2 linked regions of the Arabidopsis thaliana genome follow. Each later gene encodes a partner of the first gene's protein in a complex. Each region holds a gene or a part of one and is shown on either strand. Other genes may lie near its edges. The genes, in order: NYE1 and NYC1.

Region 1 (4,685 bases):
GAGCTATGCAGATTAACAAAAACCAAAAGACAAGAAATGAAAATAAGATAGTAACAAAACCTTCTTTGCAAGATTCAACAAAATTCACAGCATCCATGGTTGTGATGTGTTCCATCACTACTTTCAGCTGCGGAAGGCGTTGGATTAGAGGCTGCAGAACTGTCTCAATGAAGATTTTCTCGCGGTCAAAGACATCGATACTCGGATCTGTGACCTCCCCATGAACCTAATCAAAACATTCCTCAGACAAGACAAAGACAAAAATACAAGTCTATGTGGTGTATGATTTATTTACCAGCAAAGGCATGTTTTGTTTGACCATCTCTTCTAGTACCGGTAAGCATTTTCCAAAGAGATCCGTGACACCATCTTGAGAGTTGGTTGTTGCTCCGGCAGGGTACAGCTTCACCGCATAAACCACACCACTTTCCCCTAATAACAAGATCATATATGCATAAACTGAACATTAGCAAGTAGAATCTCAATCAGAAAGATGAAAATGTATCTGATTAGTTTGCAACAAGATGGAGAAAGCACAGGTACTTACTTGCAAGCCTGATCTCTTCAGGTAGAGTTTTGTCAGTCAAATAAAGTGTCATAAGTGGATCAAAGCTACTCTCAGATGGCAAAGCTTTCATGATAAATTTCCGGTAAATAATGGCAGCTGCAGTGGAGGTGACAGGAGGCTTCAGATTCGGCATCACAATCGCTCTCTTAAAATTACTCGCACTGCACATAATTACATACACCATTAACCATCATGTACAGCACAAGCATCAACGCCAGCACAAGATTGTGATTGAGGAATTCATACATAACAAACAATGGTTCCACAAGAAACACCAATAGCAAACAAAAAAGTGGCTGCAAAACAAAGTAAAGCAAGGAAAGAAAAGAAAGATTGCAGGATGTTTATAAGACCTGTGGGGAACAACAGCATGAAGAAGATCACCGTCACGGAGATGAAGATGCCAATCATCAGGTTGAGTGATTGTGAGCTCCATTCTTACTGCTCTCGTCTTCACTTTCTCAGAAGATCTGTCAAACTTCAACTTCTGAGATCCAAATCCCTACATAAAGAATAAAATAGTTGACTTTAACAGACGCATAGGAGGAATTAAATAAAATTAAAACTGGATCACGTGGATTGAACTAAACAAGAATAAGACTCAAAGAGTGGTGGAGGTAGAGTACATACACTATAAGGAGAGACCAAAGTCTTTATCATCTGAAAGCTGCTCAAGGCTTTGCAAGAATTCACCTGTTCCAAAGCAAATGACAAGTAGACTCAGATTCTATAACATGACCTTAAAAAATTGACTCTGTTCTAAAGTATTAGCAGGCACTAAAACTATTCAATCATCATCAAAAGATTTCGCATTCCTTTGGTTCAATGTTTCTCCAAACGAAATTTAGTATCCAGATTAATCAAATTTCTATACACACAAATGGGTATCAGCAAAATCCAAAGAAATCAAATTATCCAAACAATAAACCACAAAATGGCGAAACTGGTAAACACCTAGAAACCAAAATCGAAAACTTGAACTTGTTTAGGTAAGCAATACGAACCTGGATAAACGAAATGCACAACAGGGATGCTTACAACACAAACAAAACGAACCCCAAAAAGAGTGATTTGAGGAAGAGATTGAAGGAGAAAGAAGAAGAAAAAACAGTACTCGTGTTTTGTTGTTTACAAGATACGACGTCGCTTAACGTAAAAGAAGAAGAAAAAAATAAAAGCTCTGTAACAGGCCAGCCCAATTTTAGCCCGATATTTTTAATGGACCTGGACCTGATCACAAATTTCAGCCCTTTTTAACATCCTTATGGATCAACATGGGACTCTCTGACTCCTCCGGTTCCATCAATACCTGCGTTTGTTGTCCTTGTTCACGACGATTCAAGCGAAGAAGCCTCTCGAGTTTCACAGGTCTAATAACTAAACCGAGTAATCGAGTCGAATGACATTAAATTGAACCGAAACTAAACCGTATTGCTTTAGGTTCGACTGACAACTACAGTACGTGAGTTAGGTTCGGTTAGAGCCGAATCTGTGTCTCTTTGTCGCAACGAGATGGCTAAAGTTATCCAAAAAGACGGTTAGAGCCAGTTGTTAGCCCCACCATGACGACACATGGGGAAGCTCATGCAAAGATTAGAGAACACGTGGCACTCTCTCGTGTTCAGAAAAATTCCAAAAGAGTGTTCAGATTTGGGCACGGAAGTGTGAAACGTGAAGCAACAATCCCTTTTAAACACAAGAACCAACTCAATACGCATCACAAAGAACCCTAAATTCCTGGAAGATCTCAAAAGGAAAATTCAAAACCAAAGCTTCAAGCAATCATCAAGCAAAGGAAAAGCTCAAATTTTGGGTCTTTTATATATTTATTTCTTAAAGTTACAATCTTTTTGATTGTGGTTTCAGTGTACGAACACGCAAGAACTCGCGTGAAAAAATTGTATCCAAGCTTCGTGAAAGGAGTCTCTCTGTATTTAGTGGCGTTTTGTTCTGTTGTTATTTCTGAAATATTGAAGCTTTTGATTTGGGTTTCAAGAGAGCAGAGATGTGTAGTTTGTCGGCGATTATGTTGTTACCAACGAAGCTGAAACCAGCTTATTCAGACAAACGGAGTAACAGTAGCAGCAGCAGCTCACTCTTCTTCAACAATAGAAGATCCAAGAAGAAGAACCAATCGATTGTTCCCGTAAGGATTTGTTCTCTTAATCATTTTGACATATCTTTGTTTTATGTGTCTCAGTTATGGATATATCTATGCCTCTGTCTTTATTGATGGAACTTGAAACTTTTGGGATCGGTGCAGGTTGCAAGGTTGTTTGGACCGGCGATTTTCGAATCATCCAAATTGAAAGTACTCTTCTTAGGGGTTGATGAGAAGAAGCATCCTTCAACGCTCCCTAGGACTTACACACTCACTCACAGTGACATTACAGCTAAACTAACCTTAGCTATTTCTCAATCCATAAACAACTCTCAGGTAAAAACACCTCTCTCTCTGGTCTTAACATATCTACATGGCTCTGTTTATAGGAGTAGAATGTTTATGTATTTGATTATTTGGAGCAAATATTAGAGGCTTATGTATGATTGTTTTAACCTATGTATGTGTCTATATTCACCAGAATCTCTTAACACTTTAGAGGCTGATATGTATAGAAATGTTTTTTATAGTTGCAAGGATGGGCAAATAGGCTATACCGGGATGAAGTTGTGGCAGAATGGAAGAAAGTGAAAGGGAAAATGTCGCTTCACGTTCATTGTCACATAAGCGGTGGCCATTTCCTTTTAGATCTCTTTGCAAAGTTTCGATATTTCATCTTTTGCAAAGAACTACCTGTGGTAAGTTCCCAAATTCATAAGAAACTTTTTATTGGTTTCATGTAAAACAAAATGTTTATTGTTTTGATATATACAGGTGTTGAAGGCTTTTGTGCATGGAGATGGGAACTTGTTGAACAACTATCCTGAGCTACAAGAAGCTCTTGTTTGGGTCTATTTCCATTCTAATGTCAATGAGTTCAACAAAGTCGAGTGTTGGGGTCCGCTTTGGGAAGCTGTTTCGCCTGATGGTCACAAGACTGAGACTCTTCCCGAGGCTCGGTGTGCGGACGAGTGTAGTTGTTGTTTTCCAACCGTTAGCTCGATTCCATGGTCTCATAGTCTTAGTAATGAAGGTGTAAATGGTTACTCTGGGACTCAGACTGAGGGAATTGCTACTCCAAATCCGGAGAAACTCTAGTGACTAAATATCAAATTACAAGTTTTTCTTTTGGTAGTTTGTACAAAGTGAAAAGGAAATGGCAGGACTTTCCTTTTGGTGGATCTAAATATTGGTTTGGTTTGGTGTACATAATGTGGTATAGGAAAATAATGATTATTTGTAGGTTAAATACAGATTTTAAAGTTTCAAATGGTATTTTGTGTCTACTCTGAAGTCTTTATCATAGTTGTATACTTGTATTGTATCTCATCCACAAGATCAAAATGTAAATTTCTTACAGATTAGCTAATATTAAAGGTGACAGACTGGTATAGTACTACTGCAATGCAAACATAAAGATGAATAAATTGTTGTTTAATGAACATATATATTTTAATATATCAAAACATTCATGAGAATCATCACCAATTTAAAGTTATACTAATATCCCAAATAAGAATAGTTTAGAAATATGAAGATATTCATGAGAATCATCACCAAAGTAACAATAGACGTATATTAAGGACCGAATTCGTCGGTGTAACGGTGAGAAACTAAGGAGAAACGTGAAGGTAAAGAGATGGCAAAAGACTTTGTCTCTCTGGTGGTTTTGCAAAGCGTATCAGCCACTTCTTGCTCCTAATGATTCCAAATTATTTTCTTGGATTTATTTGGTCTCTTTCTTCAATATCTTTTTCATTTTATAACCAAATCAAGATGACTTTTTTTCTCTGACCCCATTCGTCTATCTAATTTACGACCAAATACACCAAATACAGAAAGAGAAGAAGAACAAGTAATATAAGAGAATGGTAACGAATTATTGCATTATTATCATGGGCTTATTTTATAAAATGTTGTGTTCGTAAGTAAATAAATACAAAAGAAACTATATTTTGATATATGAAGAAAAATTGAATAAAGATATACACTTTGGAAAATTTTGGGGGAAAATGT
Region 2 (5,109 bases), 4.3 Mb from region 1:
GTGTAACATATCTGGTAAGGACACACCAACATGCATGTTTTATTTTGCTTTAGTCAAATTTTGACAACACGACTACTGGAAGTGCACAGTTAATCGTCTGTAGTATAATGGGCTTTCTAAACCCATTCCAACTCTCATTTAGTATGATATTGTCCTCTTTGGGCTTATATGCTCAAGCCCGCAAGGATTTGTTATTGGGTTCCTTCCCAAAAGGTCTCATACTAGTTGGAGTTGGACTTGGCTTATATATTAGAAACTCTTTTTCTAAACTTTCGATGTGGGACCTTTGGTTTGTACCCAACAATCTCCCCTTCAAACCAAAGACCACGAACTTGGACCTCCTTCTTGAGGCACCTTCTTATCGTGTCATGTTTGAGAGATTTTCCCACATCGATCATAGCCCAAGCCCTAGGTCCAGTGTTTCAACCTGGCTCTGATACCATTTAATGGGCTTTCAAAGCCCATTCCAACTCTCATTTAGTATGATATTGTCCTCTTTGGGCTTATATGCTCAAGCCCACAAAGATTTGTTATTGGGTTCCTTCCCAAAAGGCCTCATACTAGTTGGAGTTGGACTTGGCTTATATATTAGAAACTCTTTTTCTAAACTTTCGATGTGGGACCTTTGGTTTGTATCCAACATAGTATTTATGGATCGAATTCCATTGGAAGAGAAGTAATTCAAACAAGTCTGTCAGAAGAGAGTAAAACTAGGACAAATCAATAAAAGAGGGGGAAAGGGTTGTTATTGTGTCACAGTTGTAAGTAAGTGAAGCAAGTAAATAGTAAGTGATCAATAAGAGACAAAAGTTGGACATTCAAGGGATCGTAGGGGTTCAATGATCTTCATGATCTAATCATGTTTATTTCCATGTTTTCGAGCATATAAAACACATAAAATTCAGCTACTGAGGAAAAATATATAAACGCATATATACATATGTACACGTCCACATACTTTCACGTTTAGGTTTTCGTTATTAGGGAAGTTGGACTTTTAATAGGTTTACTGATATTTGGGTCTCACGTAAAGCAGACCGGCTCTTTGGAGGTGCATGAGGCGCATTTGTTCTAGATCCAAATTTTTTTTGGTAAATTTAAGGATCTGATTAGTATGGAAAAGACCTACAATTTTTTTTTTTTTAGTATGAAAATGTCAATTTTAATGTGTTTTTAAAAAATTAGCATAAAAAGGGTCCAAATTTTTGTTTTATAGTTTAGAAAAAGATTAATTTTTAAAATTTGTACAGGGACTATAAATTTATTGAGTTGGTAGAGACAAAAAGCTTAAAGTTTACACAAAGGAGAAAATTATCATAAACACAAACATTATCAACTTTTCTTTGTTTGATATTAAATTTTTAATTTATAATTTTTTATTGTTCTAAAATAATATAAATAAGTAAGTGGTAGTTTGACAATAATCTCTATCATCTACTCAAATGTGACAATGGATACTACAATAATTTACTCAGGTACATAAGTAATGACGAAGTCTGAGTAAAATGTAATTTGAAATCAAATTTTGGCTTTCTAGAAGCAAAACTGAATCAAAATTTTGTTCATGTGAACCAAAATCTAAAGTAGCTCCCAAAGAGAGAAAAAAATATCTTGAAAACATGCGAAGGGACAAAAGAAACACAAAATGACACGTGTCAATGTTAGGCTAACGAGATGAGGTTGCTGTAACGTGTGGCCATCACACTTCTCTTCCTTCTTTCTTTCCCTCACCTCTTTCTTTCTTCGTCCTAATCTCCTTCTTCTTCCTCCGATCACTCTATTTAACGTCTTCGACGAATCCGAAGCTGAAAAATATCTAACAATCTATCTTTTGGGTCCCTAAAAAAGCTCCTTCGTTTATCTTGTTTTCTAAGTTATCTTTTTGTATGAGTTTCAAAGCTTATCATTATCTCACTCTTCTTCCATAGCTATGACTACTTTAACGAAGATTCAAGTGTACCCACAAGTCTTGGAGCACCGTCTCTTCTTCAGAGATCCGATACGGGTCGGGTCAAGATTGACTTGTAGAGAACGTAGTAATAGGGTTTATGTGCATCGGTGTGAGAAAAAAGTTGAAAGAAAGAGAAAAGTTGAGAAATTTAAGGGAAATGGGTCGTGGGATTCTTTGAAATCTGGGTTTTTAGGGTTTAGTAAATTAGGGTTCTTGTCTAAAGATGAGTATAATCAGAAAGTTGAAAACTTGGAGATGGTTTTCTCTTCGGTTAGTCTTAAAGTTTCCTCTTTTTTTCTTAATGAAATTTTCAATCTTTTTGCTTTGATTAGCTTAATTTTTATGTGTTTGTGATTTTGTAGGTTGCTGTTCAAATTGCGAGATACATTGTGACGATGACAAGTACTGGAGCTATTCTTTTGATTGGGTTTCAATTATCAGGTTAGTGCAAAAACTATTGTAGAAGAGTTTTTTTATTGGTAATTTTGTTTGACTGAGATTTTGAGTGTATGTATTTGTGATGAAAGGTGGAGATAGTTCGATGAACTCATTGGTTTGGTATAGTTGGCTTGGTGGAATTATCATTGGAACCATGACTGGTGCTAACATGGTTTTGGAAGATCATTATCGAGCCGGTCCACGGAATGTTGTTATAACCGGAAGGTACCTTCTTTACTTTTGTTTTTGCATTTTTTGATTTTTGTTTCTTTGTGTTTTGGTTTGATGCTGATGTATGTTTTTATGCTGTGTTTTAGCACTAGGGGACTAGGGAAAGCTCTTGCTAGAGAGTTTCTTCTCTCTGGAGACAGAGTCATTGTCACATCTCGCAGGTTGATAAATTGTATATATGGAATTATGGATTAGTTTTTATCAAGCAATGAAGTCTTAATATGATTTGTTTTTTGGTTTTTGTTTGTGAAATCAGTTCTGAATCTGTTGATATGACTGTCAAAGAGCTAGAGCAAAATCTCAAAGAGATTATGAGTAACGCTAGCGAGTCAGCTAGAAAGAAACTGAGTGATGCTAAGGTAGTTGGTATTGCCTGTGATGTTTGCAAACCCGAAGACGTTGAGAAGCTGTCGAATTTCGCTGTAAAAGAGCTTGGTTCCATCAACATATGGGTAAAGAAACATATTTCTTTTTGTACAGTTTGTAACTTTTTTTGTATCTTTAGTCATATGTTTGCTCACTGTCTATATTCATTTGGATAGATAAACAATGCTGGTACTAACAAAGGTTTTAGACCGCTACTCGAGTTCACGGAAGAAGATATCACACAGGTAAAATCCTTTTTGAACCTAAAGCTTAATTTCAGCTTGAGCTTATGGTGAAGTTCATTAGTCTAATTGTAACTATTATTTTGTAGATTGTCTCCACAAATTTGATTGGATCAATTCTATGTACACGAGGGGCTATGGATGTGATGAGCAGACAGCACAGTGGTGGACACATCTTTAACATGGATGGTGCTGGCTCTGGAGGTTCAAGTACTCCTCTCACTGCCGTGTAAGAACTCAAATCATTCGTTACTAGTCTCTAATGAATTAGAACACATTTCTGAGTCTGTGAGCTTTCGCAGATATGGTTCAACAAAATGTGGACTTAGGCAGTTTCATGGGTCTATAGTGAAAGAAAGCCAAAAAACAAACGTTGGCCTTCACACTGCATCCCCTGGCATGGTTCTGACAGAACTTCTTCTCAGGTATGCATACACTTTGTCACTAAGGCCTAGAACAGAATGCTCCGGAGTTTTATTGAAGCAACCATTTATTTGGCAGTGGTTCGAGCATTAAAAACAAGCAGATGTTTAACATAATCTGTGAGCTTCCTGAGACAGTAGCTAGAACTTTGGTACCACGAATGCGAGTTGTGAAAGGTTCGGGAAAAGCCGTCAATTACCTAACTCCTCCTCGGATATTGTTAGCTATTGTCACTTCCTGGCTAAGGAGAGGCCGATGGTTTGATGACCAAGTAAGTGTTACACTTGAGTTCTAGTTCAAGTTTTTTGACAAATCCTTCACTTGGTTAAGCCTGAGCTGACGCAAAGATGTGTACGTGTTTGCAGGGACGGGCGTTATATGCAGCAGAAGCAGATAGACTAAGGAACTGGGCAGAGAACAGGACGAGGTTGTCGTTAACAGACGCGATGGAGATGTATACAGAGAATACTTGGGTCTCTGTTTTCTCTCTTTCTGTTGTTTGCGCTTTCATCATCTTACAAAGCACAACACCTAGCTCTTTTCCAGGCACATAACAAACATCTTCCTCGGATGTGTTTTAAGAAAATTGTAAACGTACATGTTATGTATAAAAAACATATATATAACAGAACCGATTTGTTCATGTAAACACTTCTTATAGTTGTAGAATGTGTCGTTGTTGAAAACAATGAAAAAATAGATTGTAATAAACTTTTATCAGATTGTAGTATTTTCTAGTTTTCACTAGTTGGGCCTTTAAAGGCCCATTAAGCGGAGTTAAAAAAACACAGCTCCAATAACATTGCATCAATAAAAAAAGTGGAGGGCCATCAGATAGGAGCGAAAGACTGTGCTACTGAATAGTAATCATGGAGATCATTTGAACTATGCATTATTAATCATCACTTGACCCTTTTTTCCAAATAAACAAAAACAAACCAAAGATTGTTTGGCCTCATAGAGAAGATTAGATTTTATCAACAAGGATTAATTCAGACATATGCTTGTCTATTTTTTTGATTAAATCATTGGCCAAAAAAATCGATTAGAAGAAAGATTGAAAAACAAAAGTCAAAAAGTAGGACTCAGAATATGGGTGGTGATATAACAGAATGGTCGGCAAATAGGCTTTTTACGGCCGTTTTTACGACGAACGAGACCTTAAATATCAATCGTCACTGTCCGGAAGAAAAAAAAAAACAATTTTGTAATACGACAATAACAAAAGTAAGGGTTGGAGAAAGTATAAGGATTTGATTACGAGAGCAATTTGTAGCTTGAGAGATGATAAGCTTCTCTCTCTCTTTGGGTTTTTATACAGAAAATAAATATGGAGCGCTAGGGTTTTCTCACTCGTTAAGATTCTGACACGTGTCCACTGTTACATCTGACGGTGCTCAACATCACACACCGCTACGGACGTTGTTGGGCTTATCATAGTTTGGGCTTTACCAGGGC

The links.
Region 2: NYE1 (region 1) and NYC1 share a complex: the UniProt entries of both Arabidopsis thaliana proteins name them as parts of the SGR1-CCE-LHCII complex.

The regions. Positions count from the first base shown.
Region 1 is NC_003075.7:12,015,858-12,020,542, reverse strand, and holds NYE1 (non-yellowing 1), read left to right. Parts: upstream 1-1,899; 5' UTR 1,900-1,936; intron 1,937-2,008; 5' UTR 2,009-2,573; coding exon 2,574-2,714; intron 2,715-2,831; coding exon 2,832-3,005; intron 3,006-3,199; coding exon 3,200-3,367; intron 3,368-3,443; coding exon 3,444-3,767; 3' UTR 3,768-4,080; downstream 4,081-4,685. Other genes in the region: PYR4 (pyrimidin 4), read right to left, coding at 61-226, 296-432, 548-729, 922-1,070, 1,199-1,228. UniProt on the Arabidopsis thaliana protein: Magnesium chelatase involved in chlorophyll a degradation in the chlorophyll-protein complexes of photosystem I (PSI) and photosystem II (PSII). Contributes to the degradation of PSI and PSII in the thylakoid membranes.
Region 2 is NC_003075.7:7,683,513-7,688,621, reverse strand, and holds NYC1 (NAD(P)-binding Rossmann-fold superfamily protein), read left to right. Parts: upstream 1-1,615; 5' UTR 1,616-1,930; coding exon 1,931-2,221; intron 2,222-2,313; coding exon 2,314-2,392; intron 2,393-2,478; coding exon 2,479-2,614; intron 2,615-2,706; coding exon 2,707-2,781; intron 2,782-2,876; coding exon 2,877-3,072; intron 3,073-3,162; coding exon 3,163-3,231; intron 3,232-3,317; coding exon 3,318-3,457; intron 3,458-3,530; coding exon 3,531-3,653; intron 3,654-3,729; coding exon 3,730-3,922; intron 3,923-4,016; coding exon 4,017-4,205; 3' UTR 4,206-4,388; downstream 4,389-5,109. UniProt on the Arabidopsis thaliana protein: Involved in chlorophyll b degradation. Belongs to the chlorophyll catabolic enzymes (CCEs).